Arabidopsis thaliana: one gene and its partner. The protein of the gene in region 2 interacts with the protein of the main gene of each other region in a pairwise test. Each region holds a gene or a part of one and is shown on either strand. Other genes may lie near its edges.

Region 1 (6,470 bases), on a different chromosome or scaffold from region 2:
TTCAATAGTTGAATAAGTATAATGAAGTTGTTAAATTTTGGTGTTGTGAAGTTTTTGTGTCTTTTTCTGATTTGCTATTTTCATTATTATTTTCAGATTTTTATCTAATCCTATATCCTTGAGATCAATTAGTTTATAGAAAATGTTTTAAAAACAGTTATATCAAAACTCATCATTTTTTAACTATATAAATAGAGATTTGGTTCCTTTAATTTGGACACATAGAAAATCGTATTAGATTGCATATTATCTCAAATAAAATAAACAAAAAGTATTTGATTTTTATCTATTTCTGTTTAATTTAATTTGCTAATAAACTATTTAATTCTTAATCATTTAATTTAATAAAAATCAGGATAGACTGTTGAATTTTATTAAATAAAATAATTGTAGAATAGAAAAAAATAGTATATATATATATATGTTTAATTATTAGATGGAAAAGATAACAAAAATAATGTGAAAAAGAAGGAAAAAAAATGTTGAATTATATTATACCATTATAAATGGTCTTACGGGCCAAAGCCCAATAATATTTTTTCCAAATAGCTTTTAAGGTCTTTGCGTTAAGTCATTTAGCATATATTTTTTTCCCAGTGTACAGCCCAATAAGTCTTTCAAAACGTTTTGGTATCAAAACATGTAATAGCGTTTTTATATATCAAGAATTGTTTAAGAAATGTACTGAACCGTCCAACCAACCATATAAGTGATAATGGATAGCAATATTATTATAACCTTATCAGGTCAGGCCATATGTCACAATCAACCTAATTGTGATCTATAAAAGTTCACCTGGTCACGTATCTAGGTTTGACTGGATAAAAATTGTCGGTTTCAAACAATTAATACAACAATATTACTAGTAGATAATTTGTTTCTGTCTCAGCTAAATGTTTGGTGGAAGGAGCTTTGTAGAGAAATTCATTTGAAGTAAAAAAATCTAACACAAATTCAACATGTTCAGAATAATAATTCACAGCTGGGTAAATTTTAATTTACAATTATTGAGTTTTTTTTTTTTTTTGTTTATGTCAAACTCAAAACTAGTGCCACGTGGAGGAAGCTAAGCCTATAAACGATTATGACCGACAGTTGTCACTCTAGAAGTAGCGGTCCTTGTGACGGCATAAGCTGGTCATAACCGCTTAGTGGTGATGATTTGACGAAATTGCCCATTAAGCGACTGTGAGATGTCGGTAGACTACGATGGCCACGTTCCACAGAGAGTGACACTAACAACCAAAACCTATTTTATTACTATTTTTTCTTTTGTCATTAGTATTTTATTACTAATTGTTTGAATATTTCCTCGTGGTCTATTATTATTAAACACTCTAGTCCTCTTATTGTTCATTAAAATTGTCTGACGCTTGTCTCTTCCTTTCGTTTTCTACTAGAAAATTCAGCTATTTTCTTAATGTTTTATATCTCGTAAACTCTTAAGTTGTAACAGTGTTTCAATATAATTTGAACACATATTGAAGTTTAGTCCAAAATTCTTCTTCTCCAGAATATATCCAAATCGAGTCACAATGGAAAACAAATTCTCCTTTGTAGGTAAATAGAAACAAACAATAATTGTGGCATTAAAGTGTTTTAAAACGAGATCCCAATAATTTACATCAGTAAGATTTCAAAAGTGTGTAATTAGAATAAACAATAAACCTCCACAATTTGGAAGATATTTTGTTTCCATATTTGTCGCGTATAATTTATTATATTGTCAATTCTCGAGAATTTTTAACGTTTTGTTTTGACCAGGTAACGACTGTTCCGGTAAATATGTAGGTCCAAAAACTTCCCGCGGACTTAACTCGTTTTGAAATCCGCTGTTTGGTTTTCTTTTTTTATTACCGGCTCTAACCGGTCCTACCCAAAACCTTGTCATGTCCTCTCATTCCTCCACCGTTTATAAGTAGGCCCTTAACTCCAATTCCCACCGTTTCTTCGCTAACCACACAAAGCTTGTTCTTCTCCTTCCTTCTCCAATTTCGTAAGCTCAAAGATTTCGATTTCGATTTTGATTATTGCCAAAGGTACAAACTTTTGAACACAGGTTTGTTTATTTTGTTTCACTCTGTTCGATTTTATGGGGTTTTATTTATATTTTGTTCTTGATCGATTTTACCAGGTTTAAAGATGGATATTTTCGACAACTCTGATCTTGAATACCTTGTTGATGAATTTCACGCTGATTTCGATGATGATGAGCCCTTTGGAGAGGTTGATGTCACCAGTGAGTCTGATTCCGATTTCATGGACTCCGATTTTGATTTCGAGCTGGTATGATACTTTACTCTGCTTCAAGTTTAGGAAAGGCTTGAAATTTAATGGATGTGATGAAATTAATAGCAAACTTGTTATGTTGTTGTTTTAGAGTGAGAGTAAGACGAACAATGAAACATCAGCGTTAGAAGCTAGGAATGGAAAAGATATTCAAGGGATTCCATGGGAGAGCTTGAATTACACGAGGGATAGATACCGTGAGAATAGATTGCTGCACTATAAAAACTTTGAGAGTCTGTTTCGATCCAGAGAAGAGCTTGATAAGGTTCGTCTTAGCCAATCAAAGTTTTTATAGCTTATGATGATGGATGATTTGAAATCTTGAGTTTTGGTGTGCATCTTTCTTATGATTTCTTGTATTTTTTGTTGTCAGGAATGCTTGCAAGTAGAGAAAGGAAAGAACTTTTATGACTTTCAGTTCAATACAAGGCTTGTCAAGTCCACAATAGCGCATTTTCAGGTAGAGAACTTGACCAACTATGTTTGCTATGTTTGGAATACTCTGTTTACTGATGCTTGGAGTCATCTAGGTTTTCACTCTTTATCATATATAAATCCTCTGTGTTGCTCAGCTCTTGTCTTTAGCAGTCGTGTCTGCAACTGCAAACAGTAGTTCCACAGTGGCTTCTTATCACGCATGAGTTCTCTAGTTACATGGAAATATTTTATGAGCTTAGAGATTGTAGTTCCATGCTGATTTCAGTGTCACAATTCTTTCACACCGAGTCTGAAAACCCCAACTTTTAAGTGAGATCTGCCAAACTTATTTTGAAGATGAAAAATGTATCTGTTGTCAGTGTTTATTCTTTTTGTTAATTATGTTTGATCTTAGAATTTGCGATAACTCTTCCTGTTTTCTTATGTTGATCATTGTTCCCACCTTCAGCGCTGTAGCTGGGGGTGTTGATTCACACAAAGTCCTTTTCTTTTGCAGATAGTCTTCAAGGGTGCTTAATTTAACCTGCTCGTTTCTAACTTCTCGAAATATAATAACTTAGGTTCGTTTTTTACTCAGGGACAATATTAAGGTTCTAACTGATTCAAAAAGAGTGTCATGATATGTTTCTAGGATGATCGAGGCAGAGTTGATATATCTAACTGGTACAGGCAACTTTTTAACATCTTCATATACTTTCATCACCTCAAAAATTAGAGTCAGAGAGTGTATTAAGATTCCCTTGCACATTAGACGTCGCTCAATGTCCATTATTAGACCACGGGAACTGTATTGAAGATTTAACACTACCTCTGCTGCATTTTGAGAAACAGTTACTGTATGACTTAACCTTTCTTAAACAGGTTGGAAGAGCAGCTGGCGCCTTAAGGAAACCTTTGTTAATATGGTATGATAGGAAATGTTTGCTAATCTGCAAGGACTCTCTAACTTTGTCATCCTTATTTCTTACAGGAAATCTTTTTGTTCAAGCTTATATGAGTGCTTCAATATCATCTGCATTTTTTCGTGATACTATGCTCTTGTGCTTCTTATTATTTCTTTTGGTTTTGGTCTTCTCTTCTTTCTTTTTTTTCTGGCACAGTTGCTTCATAAACGATTAATGCTGAAGTTTTTAAAGTCAACATTTGATTACTGAAACGGTTGCTTTGTTTCCTTCTTGGCTTGTGTTTTGTGTGAGAACTTGCATGTTCTCTGCTTTTTTGTGTAAGATGACCAGTTGTATCCTATGCAACAATCCTAATCATTATTGTCTCATTTTACAGCTGAGGAACTTGGTATGGGCAACATCAAAGCACGATGTGTATTTCATGAACAACTACTCTCTCATGCACTGGTCATCTTTGTTGCAAAGGGGCAAAGAAGTACTTAATGTGGCAAAGCCCATTGTTCCTTCAATGGTAAGCAACCTAACTCGTTCCATCACTTGTTCTTGAAACCTCGGAATTCAACTATATATTAACTTTGGTAATTTAATCTTCAGAAGCAGCATGGATCGTTGTCACAGTCTGTATCAAGAGTCCAGATAAGCACCATGGCAGTTAAAGACGATTTGATAGTTGCGGGAGGGTTCCAAGGAGAGCTTATCTGTAAGGTATATTAATATATTCTCTGTTCTGCAGTGATCTTATTGTTAATTTGTTTGCTCATTTTGCGTGGTCACTCTGATTCCAGAAAATCAACGAACCTGAGGTTGCTTTCTGCACTAAACTAACATCAGCTGATAACGACATCACCAATTCGGTTGACATCTACAACGCACCTAGGTGATTACTAAACAGAACATACATTGGTTTTCAAAAAACCAAAAAAAACAACTCTTCTAATTCTTGCTTCCTTAATCCATGTAGTGGCTCGTTAAGGGTTATGACCGCGAACAATGACTGTACTGTCCGGCTATTTGATGCCACAAACTTTGCCTTGCTCAACAGATTTGCCTTTCACTGGTCTGTAAATGTAAGTGCATCTCTTTCTCATAAGACTCAACTGTTTTCATCTGCTATTGATTCAAAGTGTTCATAACTAATGTTTTTGGTGTGTCTTTGTAGAACATCTCCACCAGTCCAGATGGTAAGCTAGTGGCTGTTCTAGGAGACAGTCCTGAGTGCTTACTAGCAGATACCGGATCTGGAAAAGTGATCCACGGACTCGAAGGCCATCTCGACTACTCGTTTTCATCAGCATGGCACCCAAACGGTCAAATCTTAGCCACGGGTAACCAAGACACAACCTGTAGACTATGGGACGTAAGGAACCTGTCTCAATCACTCAAAGTCTTGAAAGGAAACATGGGAGCTATCAGAGCCTTGAGGTTCACGTCTGATGGACGGTTCTTAGCCATGGCTGAGCCAGCGGACTTTGTACACTTGTTTGACACGGAAGCTGGTTACAGTCAGTGTCAAGAGATTGATCTGTTTGGAGAAATAGCGGGAATCTCGTTTAGCCCCGACACGGAGGCACTGTTCGTGGGAGTAGCTGATCGTACGTACGGCAGCTTGTTGGAGTTTAACAGGAAGCGAAACCACTCGTATGTTGATTCCATATTCTGATCTGACTCCAATCGTTAGAAGCAAATTAAGGAGCTATATGTATGTGTGAGATTATGGTTGTAGTGGCTGTTGGAGGGATTAAAAGTCGTTGTTTTTGTGACTTTCCCTTTGTCATGTTTATGTGGTTTTAGGAATTCCATGTTTGGTCAACTGTAGAACATACGTACTTATATGAGTGCTGTTAAACTTTGAAGACACAACTTGTAGGCTATGGGGACGTGAGGAACCTGTTAAAATTTGAAGCCCAACTCGATGTTCAGAAGCAGCACCAGGCCTTTATTTATAATAAAAATTTGTGGCTTGAAGAATGTGATTGGGGTCGATGTGGGACAAAAACAACAACTAGTTTCACGGGCTTTAAATAGTTGAAGCCCAATTAGGTGATTAAATGTGCTGTGAAACAGTACTGATGGTTGGGAGAAGTTGAGATTGAAAGGATTTTAGAGCAGCATCTAATACTAAAAGTAGTAGACATAAAGATGGTTAAGGAGATTTTGATAGTCGAGATTTCTATCTTTTTCTCAAGACGAATAAAGCAATTAAGGAAGTGTCATGTACTCATGTGTGAGTGAGCCACTTAATGTAATGTTAAAGCTTTACGAAACATTCCTCAATTACACCTAACCTTCTTCTTATAACAGAAAATAAAGAGTCCTTTGATTCTATTTCTTCAATAACCTTTTCTTTTTTCTTTAAAACGTGTCACATATTATAATTGCATTCTAATTTCTAAGAGAACAACAACTCTTTGATATCTTTCATCGAGATTCAACAATAATGGTATTACAATTCAAATTGGGAACTATGTGCAACTGAAAAGGCAAATGTAATAGCGTCCAAAATTCTGTACTTATTTTTTGATCTCCTCCATTGATGAAAAAAGAAACTTGTACTTAATAGCTTAGTATATAAAAATGGAGAAATGGACCATATGTCACGTTAATCACGATATCACGCGAAAACGATAAAACCAAAGAAGAAGAAGAAAAAGGTATTATGAACAAAATGTGACGGTGACAATTCACCTAAACTTCACATGCCATTCATCTTCCTCACAAAACGCCATCCAACTGCTCTGAAAACGACACCACCCTCAGTTTTTTGTTTTCGCAAAACTCTCTAATTCAGTCCAAATAGTTTCTATTTTGTATATTAACAATTTCTTATATCCTCAACTA
Region 2 (4,866 bases):
ATTGGGATGGGAGACGCTCTCTTTAATCATTTTTCGTATTTTTTTTTTCTTATTTTGGATGGTGATGGTGTTACCAGATTCAAAATCAGAAGATTCATACCACCGATGTCTTCATCCAGTGTCATGTTGATTCGTTTGAATCGTACTATATTCATAAATATAAAGTTTGTTTTCGGTGGTCTCACTCACCAGCGCCATATATGATTCTCAACCGACGGATTTTCTCCTAACGGTTTGGCTAGAAGTCATTTGGATATTTGATCCGTGAATCAATAACCAAATATGAATTTGACCTCTGAGATAACTTCTCATTTCTAGTTTTCTAATTTCATCCCTACGCTAAATGCACCAATTGTCCCTTATTTCGTGAAGCACGCGACACATGCTTTGGCTAAGCCACATAACCTACACTTGGTAGCATTTGAGATATCAAACTTTGGTTTTCAAAAGTTCGACATCTTGTGATACTAATTGGTCGAAAAAAAATCACAACCAAAACGATTAAAAAAAAAAGTTGAAAATGAAGAGTTGACTTCTTTAATCCTCGAGTCTTGATAATAGAAGAGATAGAAAAATAGAAAACGATAAATTTAACAAAACTAAAACTTTCTCATTTAGGGAACATGAGCCTCTTTAGGAAACTTTTTCTTTACGTCTACTTTTAAATTCATTACAATTACATAACTATTTATTTATATAAATGAACTTCTTGCTAAATTCATATGGTAGGGAGGATATTATTACATGAATAATTTGAGTGATGTCTACCAAATCTCTGGTCCTAAAACCACTCTGTGATTTCAAGGTTAATAACATTGATTGAAGCAGAAAAACAAACCTTTTCGTTTGTCTTCACTTTTGGCCTTTGGAGTTTCCCCACATTCATCAAGCTTAGCCATCAAAGAGCTAGTTCCAGGAGAATCCGGTGGCAATAGCGTGTTCTTCGAAGCAAGAATCCGTTGTGGAATAGCGGATATCGGAGATCCAACTTTAGAGAGATAGTTAAGAAGTAACTCAATGATATGCGTGAAGTTGGGCCGAGCATTCGGATCCTCATTCCAACATGATGTTACAATGTCGCCCAACTCCTCCGGTAAGCTCTCCGCGCTTGGTCTCACATTCTGTATAAGAAACATGTCAAAACAAAGAGAATAAAGTTCAGCGAAAATCAAAAGCAAAACAAGACAGTGTTACACACTTTGAAGGCTGCTGCATATGCTGCTTGGAGATTTGACATTCCCTCAAAAGGCAATTTATTGTGTAAAAGCTCCCAAAGAACTATTGCAAAGCTATAGGCGTCGACTTTATGATTGTAGTGCTTCTTCTCTCCCAATCGAAGAGTTACCGTGCTGTACAACTGTAATATTCCACCAAGATTGTCTTTAAGTAGCAAAGAGAAGCACAAGAAATGAACAAATATGTCTATAAGTAAAGAAGAACCTCAGGTGCCATCCATCGGTATGTTCCTGTCTCAGCCGTCATCATCTCAGTCAGTGACTCTTCTCTTGCTAATCCAAAATCTGCTAGTTTTACTGTTTTATGGTCTGCAGTTAAAAGCAAGTTCTCTGCAAAACAGAACAATAGATCCTTTAACACCATCTTCAACACTTAAGATTAAATCTTAATCATAACCAGAATATTAAAAGAACTTGAAGCGTGTGTGGTGTCAGACAATAAAAAAGAAAGAAAAGATTCTTTGTGATTGAGATCTGAGCATGTGGTTTCCATGAAGCAAGGTGTTTTGCAAATACTTTAAGCAGATCATTAAATGATACATATCAGGTTTAAAGAGGTAGTTTTACCGGGTTTGAGATCACGGTGAATGATCCCATGGGAATGCAAGCATTCCATACCACGAGCAATATCAAGCGCAAAACCGATAGCCACACGAGTCTCCAAACATGCGGGTCTCAAGTTTAATAGATATTTACGCAATGTACCGCCTTGAAGAAGTTCTGTAACTATCACCATTACAGGCTCCTTGCAAGCACCAATGAACTGATCCAGAGACAAAACACAATCATGAACTCATGAAACCCTTTAAGCTAGTAACAACAAAAACAGCCATAGATCTCAAGAAACAAGAACCTTGACCAAATTCTTGTGTTGAACACGTGAGAGCATTTCTACTTCTCTAAGGAATCTTGAATCTCTTTTAGCAATCTCTTCTGGTGTTTCTCCTCTGTGAACTATCTTTATAGCAACTGTCTGATTCTTGTATCTGTCTCAGATCATAACGACCAAACACAGTAGAGATCCATTAAAAACTCCAACTTTACAATTTCAATAATTCAACTAGACAAATCAAGATAGATGAGTGTACCAAACAAGCATTTTATTCATACCCTTATAGAACAAATACTAGACTTCACTTACCCACAAATCAAAATCCAAACTTTCCCAATAATCTCATAAGCAAATCAAATCCAGAAAGTTAACAAAGAAGAAGAAAGGAGCTTACTTTCCCTCATAGACTTTAGCATGAGCTCCTTCACCAATCTTTGGACCAACAAAGAGAAGCTGAGGATCAATTTGCCATTTGGGTTCCATTCTAAATCCAGTCAAAGAATCCATTGCAAGATTACTTCAAACCTTGCAACCACATTTTTTCTCGATCTGAAATACCAAAAAGACTTGTCCTTTTTTTGTTTGATCACTTTCTTGATTTGTATCTATGAAGATTTGAGAGCTCACAAGACAAAGAAGAGAAGAGAAGAGATAAGTAAATAGCTAACATGCCCTTCGATGAGGCAAAAGCGAAGTATCTTCACATGTCCGTAAATTAAGCACAAGTCTTAGAGAGAGAAGAAGGCGACACCAGGCAAGCTCTCCCCCAACTAAAATTATATATGTATTTATAAAATAGAAAAAACACAATGGATAAGAGAAGATTCTTAACAAAACTAAGAGAGAAGAAGCAGAGCAAGAAATGAATCAGTGGAGAATGGATCTGTGAGTACAAACAACAACACTGGTTCACTTTGGTTTTTGGGTTTTGTAATAAGAAACTTGAGGGATTCACTTGTTCTGTTTTGGAACTAGCAGAGACTTCTTCTTGATGTGGAGAGGGAGATAGAGAGACAGAGAGAGTTATGAGTATGGAGTGGTAATGATAGGATAATAAAAAGATAAACCAGAAGAAGTTTATATGATTGATTGGTGAAACATATCACATGGTTCAAAATTTCTTGCTTTTGTTTCTCAAAACATTCTTCTGAGTTTTAGGTTTAATTTGAGTAATATTCAGAAGCAAATATTGGCTATAAATAGGGAATTTTTATGCTTAATTATTATTTATATGTGACATTTGGAACCAAATTTGATTGTGTAACATGAACCAAGTAGGTTGCTTTGTGGTCAAAAGCAAAGAGATTCATTAGTACTATACACACCTATAATGCTTCCATTGTTCTTCTTTAGTTCTGTAGCTTCTTCTTTGCATTTCATCATCAGAGAAGCTTTGCTACAACAACACATGAACACTAGTTGATTCACACTAGCTAGAGTTTAGCAGATCATTACCAAGATGAGGGATTTTCAAGTTTGGGCAACTCCCAAGAAATGTTTTTAACCATTTCCAATTAGGTACATAAATATCAGCATACATGTGGGACATGTAACCAAACCGAGGAAGCGGTTCTAATTTTGAGTATTGATAGATGATCTCGAACCAAAAAGAAAAGTAATGTAGGTCATAAACTTTCATGAATCATGATAGAGAACGTACATGTCTTATACTGGAATTGACATGACATATATAGCTTTAAAGTGTTTAGATATATGATCATTTCCCCGACATTTGAAATCCCGAGCAGAAAATTGTGGATGCTACTTCTCCTCGATGAAACCCTTGTTGCTTCATCAAAACTGTCCAAACCAAAGGCGAGATAAACATTTAACTTGGCAGTGGAACTCAAATTGTTTATTAAATAACTTCCAGCTTGGTCATCATCAATAAACAAATCGCGTAAAAGAGGAGCATCAGTCACAACTCCATATTTATCTTTATATGTACTTGTACAACCGTAGAATCGCATAGCTTTATTTTGAGTCTCTTGATCAGTGACAAAAAAATTCAGCCGGAATGACTTCCGGAAGATTCCAACATTCAACAATATTTAACTCTTCCAATACAGGATAGCAAGAGACAAGTCTTGCAAAGGTGGCCTCACTGGGAGACCAAATACGTTACAAATGCATAACAGCATAAGGTAAAGAAACGAACTCGGCATCATCCATGGTCACATCAACGAGATTTAAGGATACCCGAGTCTTGCAGCTAGAAAAACATGGGGATATTACAAATACCATCTGAAGGACAACAAACATGAAGATGTTGTACCTTACGTTTAATCGCAGAATCAATCCATGACGTGAGAAAAGAGGCATCATATCATCATCTACATTGTTCAGATTTGTATCTTCGTGAAGATGTAACTTAAGCGTGTTTATGATATAAATCATAAACAAAAACCATAAGATATCTCAAGTTAACAAATCCATTCTTAGATTTGTGTAAAAGAATATAAAACATATTTCTTATCGGGCTGACGTATTTGTTCTAAATATCTCACCAGTCTAGTGAAAGTGTCGCAACGTAGTACAACGTATTGTATGTTTAAATGAGTGACAAGAGGTAGCAAATTGTATGTGACGTCATCTAAATGGATATGAGATATTACAACAACCTTTTTAAAATTTATAATTGAGGATCTTTTGTAAGTATATTTTAGACATGTAATTGGTTTTACTTAAGGTTTTCTTCCTTATTTTATTTTAGAAAGCTAAACTAATTTTGTAGTATAGTAGAGAAGAAAACTGTAAACTTTCTGATCCCATTTATTTATAGTGAAATATGCAGTGGCA

What was found. The genes of interacting proteins can lie anywhere in the genome.
Region 1: the proteins of AT5G50180 (region 2) and AT1G78070 interact in a two-hybrid assay, tested with the Arabidopsis thaliana proteins (one large-scale study listed by BioGRID).

Annotation. Positions count from the first base shown.
Region 1 is NC_003070.9:29,353,077-29,359,546, forward strand, and holds AT1G78070 (Transducin/WD40 repeat-like superfamily protein), read left to right. Parts: upstream 1-1,867; 5' UTR 1,868-2,039; intron 2,040-2,134; 5' UTR 2,135-2,142; coding exon 2,143-2,286; intron 2,287-2,380; coding exon 2,381-2,554; intron 2,555-2,662; coding exon 2,663-2,749; intron 2,750-3,269; exon of another isoform or gene 3,270-3,359; coding exon of another isoform or gene 3,360-3,390; exon of another isoform or gene 3,391-3,588; coding exon of another isoform or gene 3,589-3,632; exon of another isoform or gene 3,633-3,930; coding exon of another isoform or gene 3,931-4,008; coding exon 4,009-4,143; intron 4,144-4,226; coding exon 4,227-4,337; intron 4,338-4,417; coding exon 4,418-4,509; intron 4,510-4,593; coding exon 4,594-4,699; intron 4,700-4,791; coding exon 4,792-5,292; 3' UTR 5,293-5,934; downstream 5,935-6,470.
Region 2 is NC_003076.8:20,428,824-20,433,689, reverse strand, and holds AT5G50180 (Protein kinase superfamily protein), read right to left. Parts: upstream 3,238-4,866; 5' UTR 2,575-3,237; coding exon 2,462-2,574; intron 2,222-2,461; coding exon 2,089-2,221; intron 1,999-2,088; coding exon 1,803-1,998; intron 1,566-1,802; coding exon 1,441-1,565; intron 1,358-1,440; coding exon 1,199-1,357; intron 1,122-1,198; coding exon 807-1,121; 3' UTR 544-806; downstream 1-543.